Daphnia pulex: one gene and its partner. The protein of the gene in region 2 interacts with the protein of the main gene of each other region in a pairwise test. Links are inferred from orthologs where the notes say so. Each region holds a gene or a part of one and is shown on either strand. Other genes may lie near its edges.

Region 1 (6,008 bases), on a different chromosome or scaffold from region 2:
ATCTCTAATTGTTTCGTGACATTGTTGTAAGAACTAACGGCACTTGTGTGGTCCAGCAGCGCAATGGGAGCGTAGAAATATTTTTTCTGGCTGGCTGTTGTCGTTTGCTTGTGATTATTGGCGTGTTCATAAATTTCAATGAGAAAGTTGCCGTAATTCATGGAACTTAACGTGTCCGCTGAGATTTGCAGTTTCGCCCAAGAAGATGAACCGCCGGGGTTGTTTGTTTTGGGGTTTTTGTTTGATTGGCAGTTGCAGCAAATGACCGAAACAAATAAAATGGTGAAAATGTACCTTACAATCGATTTCGTAGCCATTTCCATCCAAGAATGAAAAAGAAACTTGAAAAGAATTAATTTATAGATGAGGCTGGGGAACAGGTTAAATTTCGTTGTATGGCACTTTGACGTACGTTTCAAACTGAGCGGGAATTCACGAATAACTGCGTATTCATACAGCAAAATTAGGCAGATTCATTGGAATGGGTTTTTCCAAATTTTCGACATTGCGTAAGCAAGTGTGTCGGGTTCCCGATTTCGAAGTCCAGCGTCGTGTAGACTTTGATAAATCAGAAATGTCATCCAATATTCCCGCCAAGGTTTTATAAACAGAACATACTCCGAGTATACAAACAGATGATTCTCGATTCTTTCAAACAAGATAATATACCAACACCAATAAAATATACAAATATAAAATGTATAAAATATTACATTCAGTAACTTTAGATTAATCTCAAGCGCTCACACATTTTAAATTTAAATCAATTTTGTACAGAACGTTCTTTGATCCGATACTCACCAACCGCCCAGCGCTGCATTTTCGATAGCAGTTTGATCTTGTCGCACAATTCGCCGGCCTATTTTTAAAAACAAACGGCCCACAGCATTCTCCACTCTTTTCCTCAGTCGGTTAGAGATGGCCAATTTAAAGTGGCAGTTTTATTTTATTCTATTTCTTTTAAATATTTTAAAATGATGGGAAAATCCAAACATAAATACATGTTCGAAAATGATACTCACGAGTCTTTGATACTGTGGTTTGATATGAATTTTATCTTCCGTCGCCACTCGCCAGCGTTGTAAACATTTCGTCAAAACTGCGCACGTCGCACTTGAATGTCATGTCGAGGTTACAAGTGAAAAGTCAGCAAGTCTTGCCATTGATTTTCTAAAACAGACTGACCCCAATATGCTAGTTTAAGAAACAGTCGAGTTTGAATATTATCTGCGCGTCTACTATAAAATTTAATTCGTTCAAATACGACCGATTGCCGTTTTAAATCTGTTACGGGCTAATTCCTACAAGAAATAAGTCCTAAATTGAGAAAAAAAAATATTTGTATTCAAATTCAAGCAGTAATTGCCACTGATAATCTCAGAACAATGTTGAACAGAATGCGAACAGGGTAGATTGCGTAAGATATTTTAAAGTTACAAGTAAACCATACAGTTACATGTACACTGACGTTTTTTTTCGATTTCCCACCTACTTATAAACACAAGACAAATTCATATTTCTGGGGCGATGGTGAATCGAAACTTTTTAAACAACTAAAAACGGAGAATTCATAAAAGGGTTTACAAGAAAGGGGGTAATAACCTGTAGCGGAGGACGGTCCCTTCTGTGGCAGTTTACTCTTTGCTGTCTCCAATGCCATCGGGCAAAATTGCGAACATGGCTTCAGACTCTGGCAAGCAGGGTGAGTCGTAGATTTTGCAAATTCGGGTTTCTCCACGACCTTTGCGCAAGTAAAGTCTACAGAAAGGAAAGTTGTTACTGTCAGGGCAAAGGGATGCAAATAACAACAAGTGAAAACTTACCGAGTAGTAGACGCGTGAGCCATGATGTTTCCACCGATGGGTTTCTTTGGGTCAGCGGCGAACATTGCAGCACCATCGACTTGAGCAACTACTTGATTGGTTATAACCACTGCCACGCCAAACTTTAAAAACACATAAAAAACCAAATGTGATTTAAGAAAATTTGAATGGTTATTTACGACGTCTAGTATACACGTACTTCATCTGCAAGTCGAAGGAGCATGCGCAAAAAACGAGCGAGATGCATTTGGCGAGCGGAAAGTTCTCCTCTTCCCGAGTAGTCGGTCCTAGGAAGATAAAAGAATGTTTGCATGCCATACATGTCTTTGAAGAAAGAAAGATCCTTTTGAGGATTACCTGTAAAGAGCTGTGGCGGAATCGACAATGAGAAGAGCGTAACGAGAATCGGCCATCATGGCAGAGGCTTGGATCAGAAGCTGTGACTGGTGATCAGTATTGAAAGCTCTGGCGCAAGCTACATTATCCAAAACATCTGAGCCAGATAAGCCATATCGTTCAGCTACAGCCAACAAACGCTCCGGACGAAAGGTTCCTTCAGTGTCGATGTACAAGCACTTTCCTTCAGCTCCTCCACTGTCAATGGGCAACTAAAAAGTTAAAATGGATAAAAACTTATTAGAATTTGAATTGGTGAACTTCTGAAATATCTATTACTTGACAGGTGACTGCAAGAGTTAGGCACAATTGAGTTTTTCCAGTACGAAACTCTCCAAATATTTCTGTGATACTCCCTGTTTCTATGCCACCCCCAAGCAATTTGTCAAGCTCTTTGGATCCTGTAGTAACCTGAACGAGCTCTGCACGCTTTTGATGATACTCTGTGGCAGTAGAAAAACCCATGGGAACCATTTTTTGAGCTTCGGCCTGAGAGTTGTGAGGATGGAAACATTAACAAGAGCTAATGGATAATTACATGAAATATTTTTTTACAATGATTTTATCAGCCTTGGCCTCGCTGACTCCTTTGATGGTCATGAGTGTCTTTTTAGGGACATAGGCTACTGATTCAACTGTGTGATACCCCGCTTCTTGCAGTTTCTTGATATCTGCACCACTAATTCCATTGCCCTGGAAGTATTGAAAATTGAAATGAATTGTTATGTGTTTACTAATTAAACAATGAGTTTGCATTTATAAATTGAGTGTCTGTTGTTTCAACATTCTTACTTCAAGTTTACTGATTGCTGAAAAAACAGTTTGTTCGAGAGCTTCGACGACATTTTCTTCTTCTTCATTAAGATTTCGAAGTGCAGTAGCCATCGTACTGATTAATAGCTTATGATAAGCTAATGATTAAAGAAATCACTGTTGCAAAGCAGAATATGTCAATGAAAAACAATTGTGTGATTCAGCTTCTCGACTCAATTAATCAGTTTCGGAAGAGTTTCAGTTTCAATCAGTCTCAGCTATCAAAACGAAGTGATCACATGTGAAACGTTCACACAACGAAACATTCGAGCGGCAAAAACAAATAGTGCCTGTATTTAAAAATCAACCTTGCCAGATTTGTTTCAAATGAGCGTGCTAATGGACAAAAAGTTTTCCCATTTTTGTAATATCTGGTAATATATGGAAGAGGAATATACTTGATTAAAATTTTAAAATAAAAAATTATTTTATGTTTTATTATTTAACATGATTTAGTTTTATAATCTTTAAATCTAATTGGTGATTGCGGGGTTAAAATAAAGCGCTTACGTCAGAATCCCAGAGCAGAATACCTGGTAGGTCAGGCGGGAAACCTGATGGGAGAGCATCTACTTTTTCGCGGCTGAACTCTTGACGACTCGACTTTCGACTAATATTCGACTAATTCCCACATTACATATTCGTTTTTTAAATAAGTGAAATGCCCCCGAAGAAGAAACAAAAAAAAGATAATGGTTTCATGGTATTCATGAAATCTATGAAACCACAATTAGAAGCCAAGGGACATAAGTTTCCTAGAGGCTTGACTGACGTTATTCCGGTGTGCTCTCCGTTATGGAATGTAAGGAATTTGTGTTGTTAATACGTCATTCTGTTAACATTAATATTAATGAAAGTGAAACTTAATTAAATTCACAGAAATTGTCACCTGAAGAAAAGGCAAGCTACCATAAAAAAGCTAAAGATGGTGGTGGTACTACTTTTATCAAAGAAGAAAGATGTGATACTCGGGGAGTTCCATTAAATTGGAAGGAAAAAGAAGAGCAAAAGAAAATATCGGAAAAAGACCATCTTCTGCAGAAAGTAGAAGATATGATTTCATACTTTGCTACTCAAGGAAGTACGCTTTCATCCGAAAATGCCTTTTTCCCGTCACATTCAATATTTACAATTTCTAGCTCTCGAGAATCACTACTTTTATCTGGCACATTTCAACATTGCTGTCGCTACCAGTGAGGGAGAGTACCCTCCATGTGAAATCGCTATAGTGAAGTTTTCGCTTCTGGATGGGATAGCTAAGTGTTACCATGACTTTGTAGAACCTGGTATTTTCATCTACCAAATTTACTTGGGTATCAAGCTTTACACCATTGTTTTATGAATTCACAGGTCAAATCCGACTGGGGTATGCCCACGAAGCCAAGCTACACTCTGAAAACACACACAATATCCCAACATTTGGATTCAAACTAGCCAATTCAGATTATGTTAACATTACGAATAACATCAAGGAAATGCTCAAACAACCAGTAAACTTCCCTTTAATTAAGGAGTTTAGTAAATAATTTTATTAACAAAAATTTACATAATCCTAGGATGGCGGGATTGCTCCTTTATTCGTGGTCGACGAAGACAACGCGAAAGCGATTTATATAGTGGACTGGTTAGTCAAAAAGAGTTGCCAACTGGACGATTCGTACGAGACGTGCAGCCCGTTCAAGATCTACAGTTTGAACAAACTCTTTTACGAGTTGCGTCGCCAGGCCGACGTGAACAATTCGACGTTGAAATTTTCCAGCATTGCGCTAGTGGCCGAACACTTTGGCAAAGGAATGTTTTTCTACAGCAAAAATATGGCCTGCCAGGTATAAATTTCCAATGGCTAATAATAATCCCTTTGACCTAAAATAATTTGAATTACGTCATTGCACAGTGGCATGTGGAAGAAGACAATGTAACGTTTTGTTCGCTAACGCGGGTGCGCAACTACGCCTACACGATTTCCGACTTGTGCTGCGAGTACTATGACTTGTCTCTGCTGCCTAATCGCCACTGCCCTTCTGAAATTGCTGATGACAACAAATATGTCGTAATGCCCAAAGTGACTGAAACGGAAGAACCGGAGGTAATTTCATCCCATGAAAATTTGCATGAGAGTTGAAAGGAAAGGCTAATGTGTGATCTTTCCGGCCCTTTAGGCACCGGTTGAAGTGAAGAAGAAGAAGGAGGAGGAGGAAGATGACAGAGAACCATCCGGTCCACCACGATTGCCCAACACTCCTGCCAGTAAATCAATTTTTAATTGTTGTTGCATCTATAAATGGCCATGTTCAGAGATATTTCCTTTACCCGTTCACTCTAGCTGCCAATTTCAAGGGTCCTGGAACAGGGCGTGGCGTTTTGGGCGGATCGATGGGCCCTGTTTCGTCCGCCACTCAATCGCCAGGTCGATCGCGAGCAATTGAAACGGCACCCCCAGCTGGAAGAGGTCGCGGCCGCGGACTTCTTTTACTTTCTGATGACTCGGATTGATTCTCCCTTTCCCTTTACCAAGTTTACATGGTAAATCTTATTCGCACGCGGTATATATATAGCCCAACTTGAACGCGTATTGATCCGCAGTGTCTCGATTCACCAATTCTTTGCCCACACACAGTTGCGGCGACGCGTAATTAGACGGCGTCGTGGAAACAACGTCATCTGGCGTTTGAATGCTTTTACATCAACAAGGCGACGACCGGGAAACTTTTGCCGCAAAAGCAGCCAGCGTCGTCGATAATTTTAAAAATACTCAAAACTCCCTCCTAAAACGCCCAGAGTGAGAGAGAGAGAGACGCAAACTGTTGCGGATCGATTCTTTTCATCCTTCTTATCCGGCCCTTCACTAGTCATTTAACATCTGAATAGCAGAGCTAAAACGTTCCATCTAGATTCCAGCCAACCTCCTCCTTTCTCCAAATTTTGTTTGCCCTTCAAGATAAATGTGGTAAATATAGCAGAAAGTATTTTTTAACT
Region 2 (5,826 bases):
TTTCATAAGAAAAAACTGCAGCATTACAAGGAAATGTCCAAATCAATCTAACGAACCTTTTTTACAATCTGGTTTTCTTTTATAACAATTTCGTATTCAAGGGGGGAAAATGCAAAGTACATTTACAGTGTTTTGCACAACAGAACTCGTGTAAGTTAAAAAAACATAAAACTGAAAAATCACAGAGCATTTGCAACTAACTTCTTTCGTCTGCGGAAGATTTTCTCTTTGTTGTTTGAAAGATTCAAGGAACAATTTTAGGCTCGTGGGATTTTTGATGGAAGGCGAACGTGACTCCAGCGTCCCAAGCAGACTTGAGAACAGGATCCGGAATGGTTTTGCGATCCGCACAGTGATTCCATTGAGACAAATCCGAATTGCAAGTCGCGTCATCCGGTGGCGGTTTGACTTGGATCCGATTGACGCAGCGACGGCATTTGAATCTGTTAAAAAAAAAAGATATTTTTGAATGAATGTCTGATTCCAAATTTTGGTATGATGCCAACTTGTCGTGAGTATCGCTCGAGGTTAGTTCTTCCAATTTAAACAAATCTCGTAAATCCGACAGACTGAAATGGCGTTCCACGTCGTCTTCGTTGTCTACTACGCAGGAGCTGAGTGCTTTTTTGTGGGCTTGACGCTGGAAAATTTTTTCTTCAATGGTTCCAGTCTGTCGTTTCATTAAATCGACCGAGTTATTTTTGTTATTATTTGCTTTAGAACCGTCCAATTTGCGACTGTTTTTTCTGGGTAGAAATACTTACGGACAACAGGCGATAAATAAAACAGGGTTTCTTTTGTCCGTCTCTCCAAACACGAGCCATAGCTTGATCGTCGTTGGCGGGATTCCAGTCCGGATCAAACATCACCAACCTTGTGCGAAAGTAATTCAACATTTTTTTTTGTGAATAATCTTACATTCTAAATTGAATGCATTAACCAATTAGTACCGGTTGGCTCCAATTAAGTTCAATCCGCAGCCACCGGCTTTGCTGCTGAGCAAAAAGACAAAATCTGAACTGGCTGGGTCGTTGAAATGTTCCACAATCTGAAATGCAAAATAGGTACTTAACAGTCCTTCCTGACCCGACTTCATTAAGAACTAAGACTGGTTTGATTTGTCTGTGTACCTTGGCTCTCTTCTTGATGCTCATGCTGCCGTCCAGGCGTACGCACGGGTAAGACCTCATTCGGCAAAGTTTCTCGAATAAATCTAGAGTTTGAGTGTAGTTGGAAATCAAGACGATCTTGTCGTTGGTAGTGCTTTTCACCATAGCCAGAATACAGTCGAGGACGCAGAGCTTGCCGGACAATTCGGTTTGCAGTTTTCTATCGATCAAATCAGCAGCGAGGTTATAGATTTTTCTACTGTCGCAAACGAATGGTGTGGGACTAACCGGGGATCGAAGGTGGCAGGAAATAACGGCAGAGTGCCTTCGAATCCGTCAACGCCCGATTGGCACTTTTCGTAAACCAATTCCGGGTGACTGCATAGTTTCTTTAAATTGGTGATGGCTGCCAGTGCAGTCATGCTCGATTTGCTCGGTTTCTCATTGGCTTCTATTTAAGTTTAAGCAGGACAGCAACAAAATATTTAATCAATCATGTACTTTAATTTATATAATATTTACCCCTCATTTTGCTCTTGACAGCTTCGGATGCTACGACCTTCTTGTAAATGGACGCCTGAACAGGACTGAGCTTAATACAAACAACCAATTCAATTTTGACTGGAAGATATTTGGTCAGCAAAGCGGATGTGCGCCGAATGATGCATTTATTGACTAGATCGGCCAATTCTTTCAATTGTGTCTGACCCTTCTTCTGAGTTTCTTCCGTCGCATCAGCGTCTCTACCTCGAAGGATGGGCGTCTCGAACCGTTTCTTAAACTCCTGCAAAAAGAAAATGTGTTTGTTGTCATTATTATTAGTTAAGGATCTCATTTTTATCTTGAATCACCTGAGCAGTGCCAAGAATGCCTTGGTTAACGAAATGTAACAAACTAAAGTACTCCAGCAAATCGTTCTGAATGGGCGTTCCGGAAAGAAGGACACGTCGTTTGCAATTCAATGCAACCAAAGCTTGATATGTCTGATTTTCACTGTTTTTCAGACGATGTCCCTAACGAGACGAACAAACGGTTGTTAGTTGAATAAGAGACTCGCGCCAGATAATGATCTTAATTATGAGTAAGTGTACTTCATCACAAAGAACAAGTCCTATTTCTCCCTTGAGAAGGGCGTGGGCGTGAAGTCTAAATGTCTCGTAGGAGATGATCAGAACAGGAGTGACGACTCGCCTTCCGTGTGTGTGTATGAATCCATTCAAGTTGCGATCAATTTCGTCTTTACTTCCAGAGTCTATCACCAACGTATTGACTCGTCCACTTAGCCACTTGTTGATTTCATTCTGCCAATTCTTTTGGTTGTAAAAAAAAATACAGCAGTTAATAAATTTCAAAGTGAATTATTAAAGTGATCATTGAATCAATGCACCTTGACCAAACTACTAGGTGAGACAATGATCCCTTTTGAAATTAAGGGCTTGCAGTCTGGGCCTTGTTTGAGTAGTGTCCAAAGCAGGGTAATGCACTGCAAAGTTTTCCCCAATCCCATTTCATCAGCCATAATGCAACCATAATTGTTTTCAATGCATAGACCAGTGACACAGTCATACATGAACTTCACTCCCTAGCAATAGAAAATTAATAGAAGACCAGAATTACAGCAGCATAAGTGGAACTTACTTCACGTTGATGAGGTCTAAGTACTTTGGTCAATACTGGATCAACAACAACATGAACAGGATGTTTATCACTAACAAAAAATTTAAAGATGTGAAAATTTAATCCCCCAGTCTTTTCAAACTATTTAATATTGTACCTTATGGATGATTTCAGCTTGTCATGAGCAGACAGTTCTGGAGGGGAATATAAAATCAAAGCACCAGGTTCATCTGGGTCATGTAAAGCTTGTCGTACTCCAGCTCGTCTCATTCCAAGTGATTTGCTAAGGGTTGGCCCATTGTAGTTTGGTATTGGTATTTTGAATGGCTTTGACATAATCTTTTTGATAAGTTCTTCCTGTTAAATAGTTAATAGCTATAATTTTGAGGCAATAGAGTTAAGTAACTATTATAGTTAATGTTTTACATGGAATGACGATCCAGCCATTTCCGAATTGGTTTCAACTGGAAGACTACATTGAGCAAGTGGTTTACGAAATGGAGAAAGAAACTCTGAAGCTCTGTCTATTATTTGTGTCTTCTTATTCTTGCCTCCTTTCTTCTTTTCTGACCAAGCTGGGTCATCATCTTCATCGTATTTTCGTTTAACTTGAACCAACTGACTTGGGGCCAAACTCCGTCTCTATCATTGTAAAATTGAGTAAAAATATAACAAAAATGTTAAAATTCAAGAAGAATTCATCACAAACCATTTTATTAATCCCTTCACTTTGTTCTCTTTCTCGTGTTGAATCGCGCCTTAAAAATACAAACACAAAGGTGAATGCATCGTGCTTATGCAGTTACTCTAATAATGATTACTCGAAAGGGTTTCTTTTGCTTGTGACGTTGTCGAATGTCTCACTAGATGGGCTTTCAAGCGAAAATATTTAAGCTGTCCGCATTGGCGCATTCTGTCAGTAGTCTTTGCAGAGGATGGTCGAAAAAAGTTCAACCCGTTCAACGGCGAGGCGAGGCGAGGCGACTCGTTATTAGTTTCCAGAAAATCGTGTCGTCATTAACTTGTTAGTGTTATTATGTGAGATAACCAAGTACTTAACCACAGTACCAGATATAATAGAAACTATTGTTAATTCAGTTTTGTTTCTTATTAATCAGAGAACAGAAGGATGAACAAAGCTTACAGACCAAAATCTAAAATTGGAAATTAATGATGCACTGCAATTTCAGGTGATTTCCGGTTCCGATTTGTGTAAGAGGATTTCTTTTGATTGTCCACTTCACGAATTGAATTGACTGAAACATCATCCAAGCTCAATTTAGATTTTGGAGGCGATAGCAAATTAAGAATTCACCAGGTGGGAAAATGGTAACACATGTTATTTATTTTCCTAATTAAAATAGAGAATCTTTTGCTGGTTGTTATTCCATTCGAGTAAAACTTTATTTTTTTCCATCTTCCAACAGGTTCATTCAAAGTTAACAGCAAACACACATTTGATTTGTTTTTAAAAAGGAAGTCCATGCTGTCCTATAAAATATTCTACCTCAGTTTCCTCAAGTCCTTAAGGTATCACAACTCCCCTATTCAATTCCCCCTAGATTAACTGTGTTTAAATATTTTCTTAGCTTTTGCATTATGTTTGGTTGTTTATTTGTGCTTGTTTTTATTACATCAAATTGTTTTTCTTTCGAAGGCTCATAACAGCCATAACAGGTAATATTTCGCGCTGTTTGGTGTTTCAAACGTGGGACCATCAATCAACCTAAGAACAAAGCCCCTGGTTTTTCCTCAAGAAGCTGGTAGATATTAAACATTTTACTTAGATCTGTTTTATCCAATAACCGTTTGATTTATTCGACAGGTTTTAACCAATTCGAAAAGGTACTTTGCAATAAATAATAAACCGGATTTCAAGCCATATATACACCGTTTCTGCAGCTTGCACCTGATCTGGCAGGCCGTCGGAACTCTATTAAGTTTATCTGAGAACCATCGGTACTTTGCCTAGACAGCGTCCTGGAGAAACTACTACTCCACTGCACCGCCTTCGAAGAAATTATGTGGTGTGTACATTCCCCTTTCGATAACTAAAGGATTCGAAGAACTCTCTTCATTTTCTAGGATACTTTCTGAGGTAGCGTTCGGTCTTTTTTTGTCTACATCTGCAATCTACATCTTCTCTCAGTGTCTAGAAAAAAAAATGGTGGAATTTCGATTCTATCAAAGACACTTACACCATCTAGTGGACATAGTTTTTAGCCAACGAGTGATCTAATGGCAATACATTTTATAGCTGGAAAAATGATGTCCAGTTCCAGTAAAAGAAAAGAAACCATGAAGATCCCACACATCACAGATCATTTAAATTTTAGTCAGACCACGTTAAAAAGGATTGGAAGCTGGTGTCGTCTGCATCTCCGAGGCCGTAGTACCGTAATCCGTGTTGAGCTTTTATCTTATAGGACGAGACTACGAGATCTTTAGCCTAACTAGTAACTACGGTACTGAGGAAAAATTGTAAGTGACGAAAAATAATAGGAAAAATTTCAAATGAGGAACAAGTCCTTTTCTGATTGTTATTCTTGCAACGGCTGATGCTTCGTAAGTTCTTAACGAAAGGAAATTTTGGAAAAATTATCTCAAAAAATAAAAATCACCATAAATTCATACTGGTGCACCAGCCAATCATGAAGTCATTACTGCGCGCCGAGGGCAATAATAGTTTTTCGGGATCCGTGAACAGATATAAACTTTTTCGCCATTTTACAAAGAATTCAGAAAACGGGGTCAACATTAAATAGTAGTGTCAAAATGATGATTGATCTACAAATTTGTGTTTAAAATGTCTGTTGGGATCAGCTAATACTTACCTTGTTTTTGACTCTTTTACATTTGCAATAACGAACACCGTCTCACTTAGGAAGAATCCTAAGTTCTTGTCTAAGTTGAAGTCTGCACATCCAACACAAGAAATAAGAATAAAGAATCAGATAGACCTCGGAATAATAAGGAAATGAAAAGAGTGTTTATTACAAAACGATTAGAAAAAAGACAGCAGATTACGGTCGCAAAGGAGCCAGCCCCAACTTAGCTCGCAAGGCATTCGCTTCTGCAATTTCAGGATCGATGGCAGCAC

What was found. The genes of interacting proteins can lie anywhere in the genome.
Region 1: the proteins of DNA repair and recombination protein RAD54-like (region 2) and DNA repair protein RAD51 homolog A-like interact in a two-hybrid assay, tested with the Caenorhabditis elegans proteins (3 studies listed by BioGRID). The link is inferred for Daphnia pulex from reciprocal best matches to the Caenorhabditis elegans genes rad-54.L and rad-51.

Annotation. Positions count from the first base shown.
Region 1 is NC_060026.1:14,856,928-14,862,935, reverse strand, and holds DNA repair protein RAD51 homolog A-like, read right to left. Parts: upstream 3,621-6,008; 5' UTR 3,105-3,620; coding exon 3,012-3,104; intron 2,913-3,011; coding exon 2,775-2,912; intron 2,709-2,774; coding exon 2,499-2,708; intron 2,432-2,498; coding exon 2,181-2,431; intron 2,111-2,180; coding exon 2,023-2,110; intron 1,946-2,022; coding exon 1,824-1,945; intron 1,759-1,823; coding exon 1,635-1,758; 3' UTR 1,323-1,634; downstream 1-1,322. Other genes in the region: uncharacterized protein LOC124204007, read right to left, coding at 1-323; protein maelstrom homolog, read left to right, coding at 3,694-3,834, 3,912-4,113, 4,172-4,318, 4,383-4,522, 4,589-4,858, 4,927-5,118, 5,192-5,279, 5,356-5,525.
Region 2 is NC_060022.1:2,885,478-2,891,303, reverse strand, and holds the start of DNA repair and recombination protein RAD54-like, read right to left. Parts: upstream 3,564-5,826; 5' UTR 3,439-3,563; coding exon 3,436-3,438; intron 3,369-3,435; coding exon 3,153-3,368; intron 3,084-3,152; coding exon 2,884-3,083; intron 2,818-2,883; coding exon 2,748-2,817; intron 2,692-2,747; coding exon 2,497-2,691; intron 2,420-2,496; coding exon 2,201-2,419; intron 2,123-2,200; coding exon 1,961-2,122; intron 1,894-1,960; coding exon 1,632-1,893; intron 1,561-1,631; coding exon 1,398-1,560; intron 1,330-1,397; coding exon 1,131-1,329; intron 1,049-1,130; coding exon 951-1,048; intron 874-950; coding exon 765-873; intron 671-764; coding exon 507-670; intron 444-506; coding exon 245-443; 3' UTR 1-244. Other genes in the region: pre-mRNA-splicing factor 38A-like, read right to left, coding at 5,750-5,826.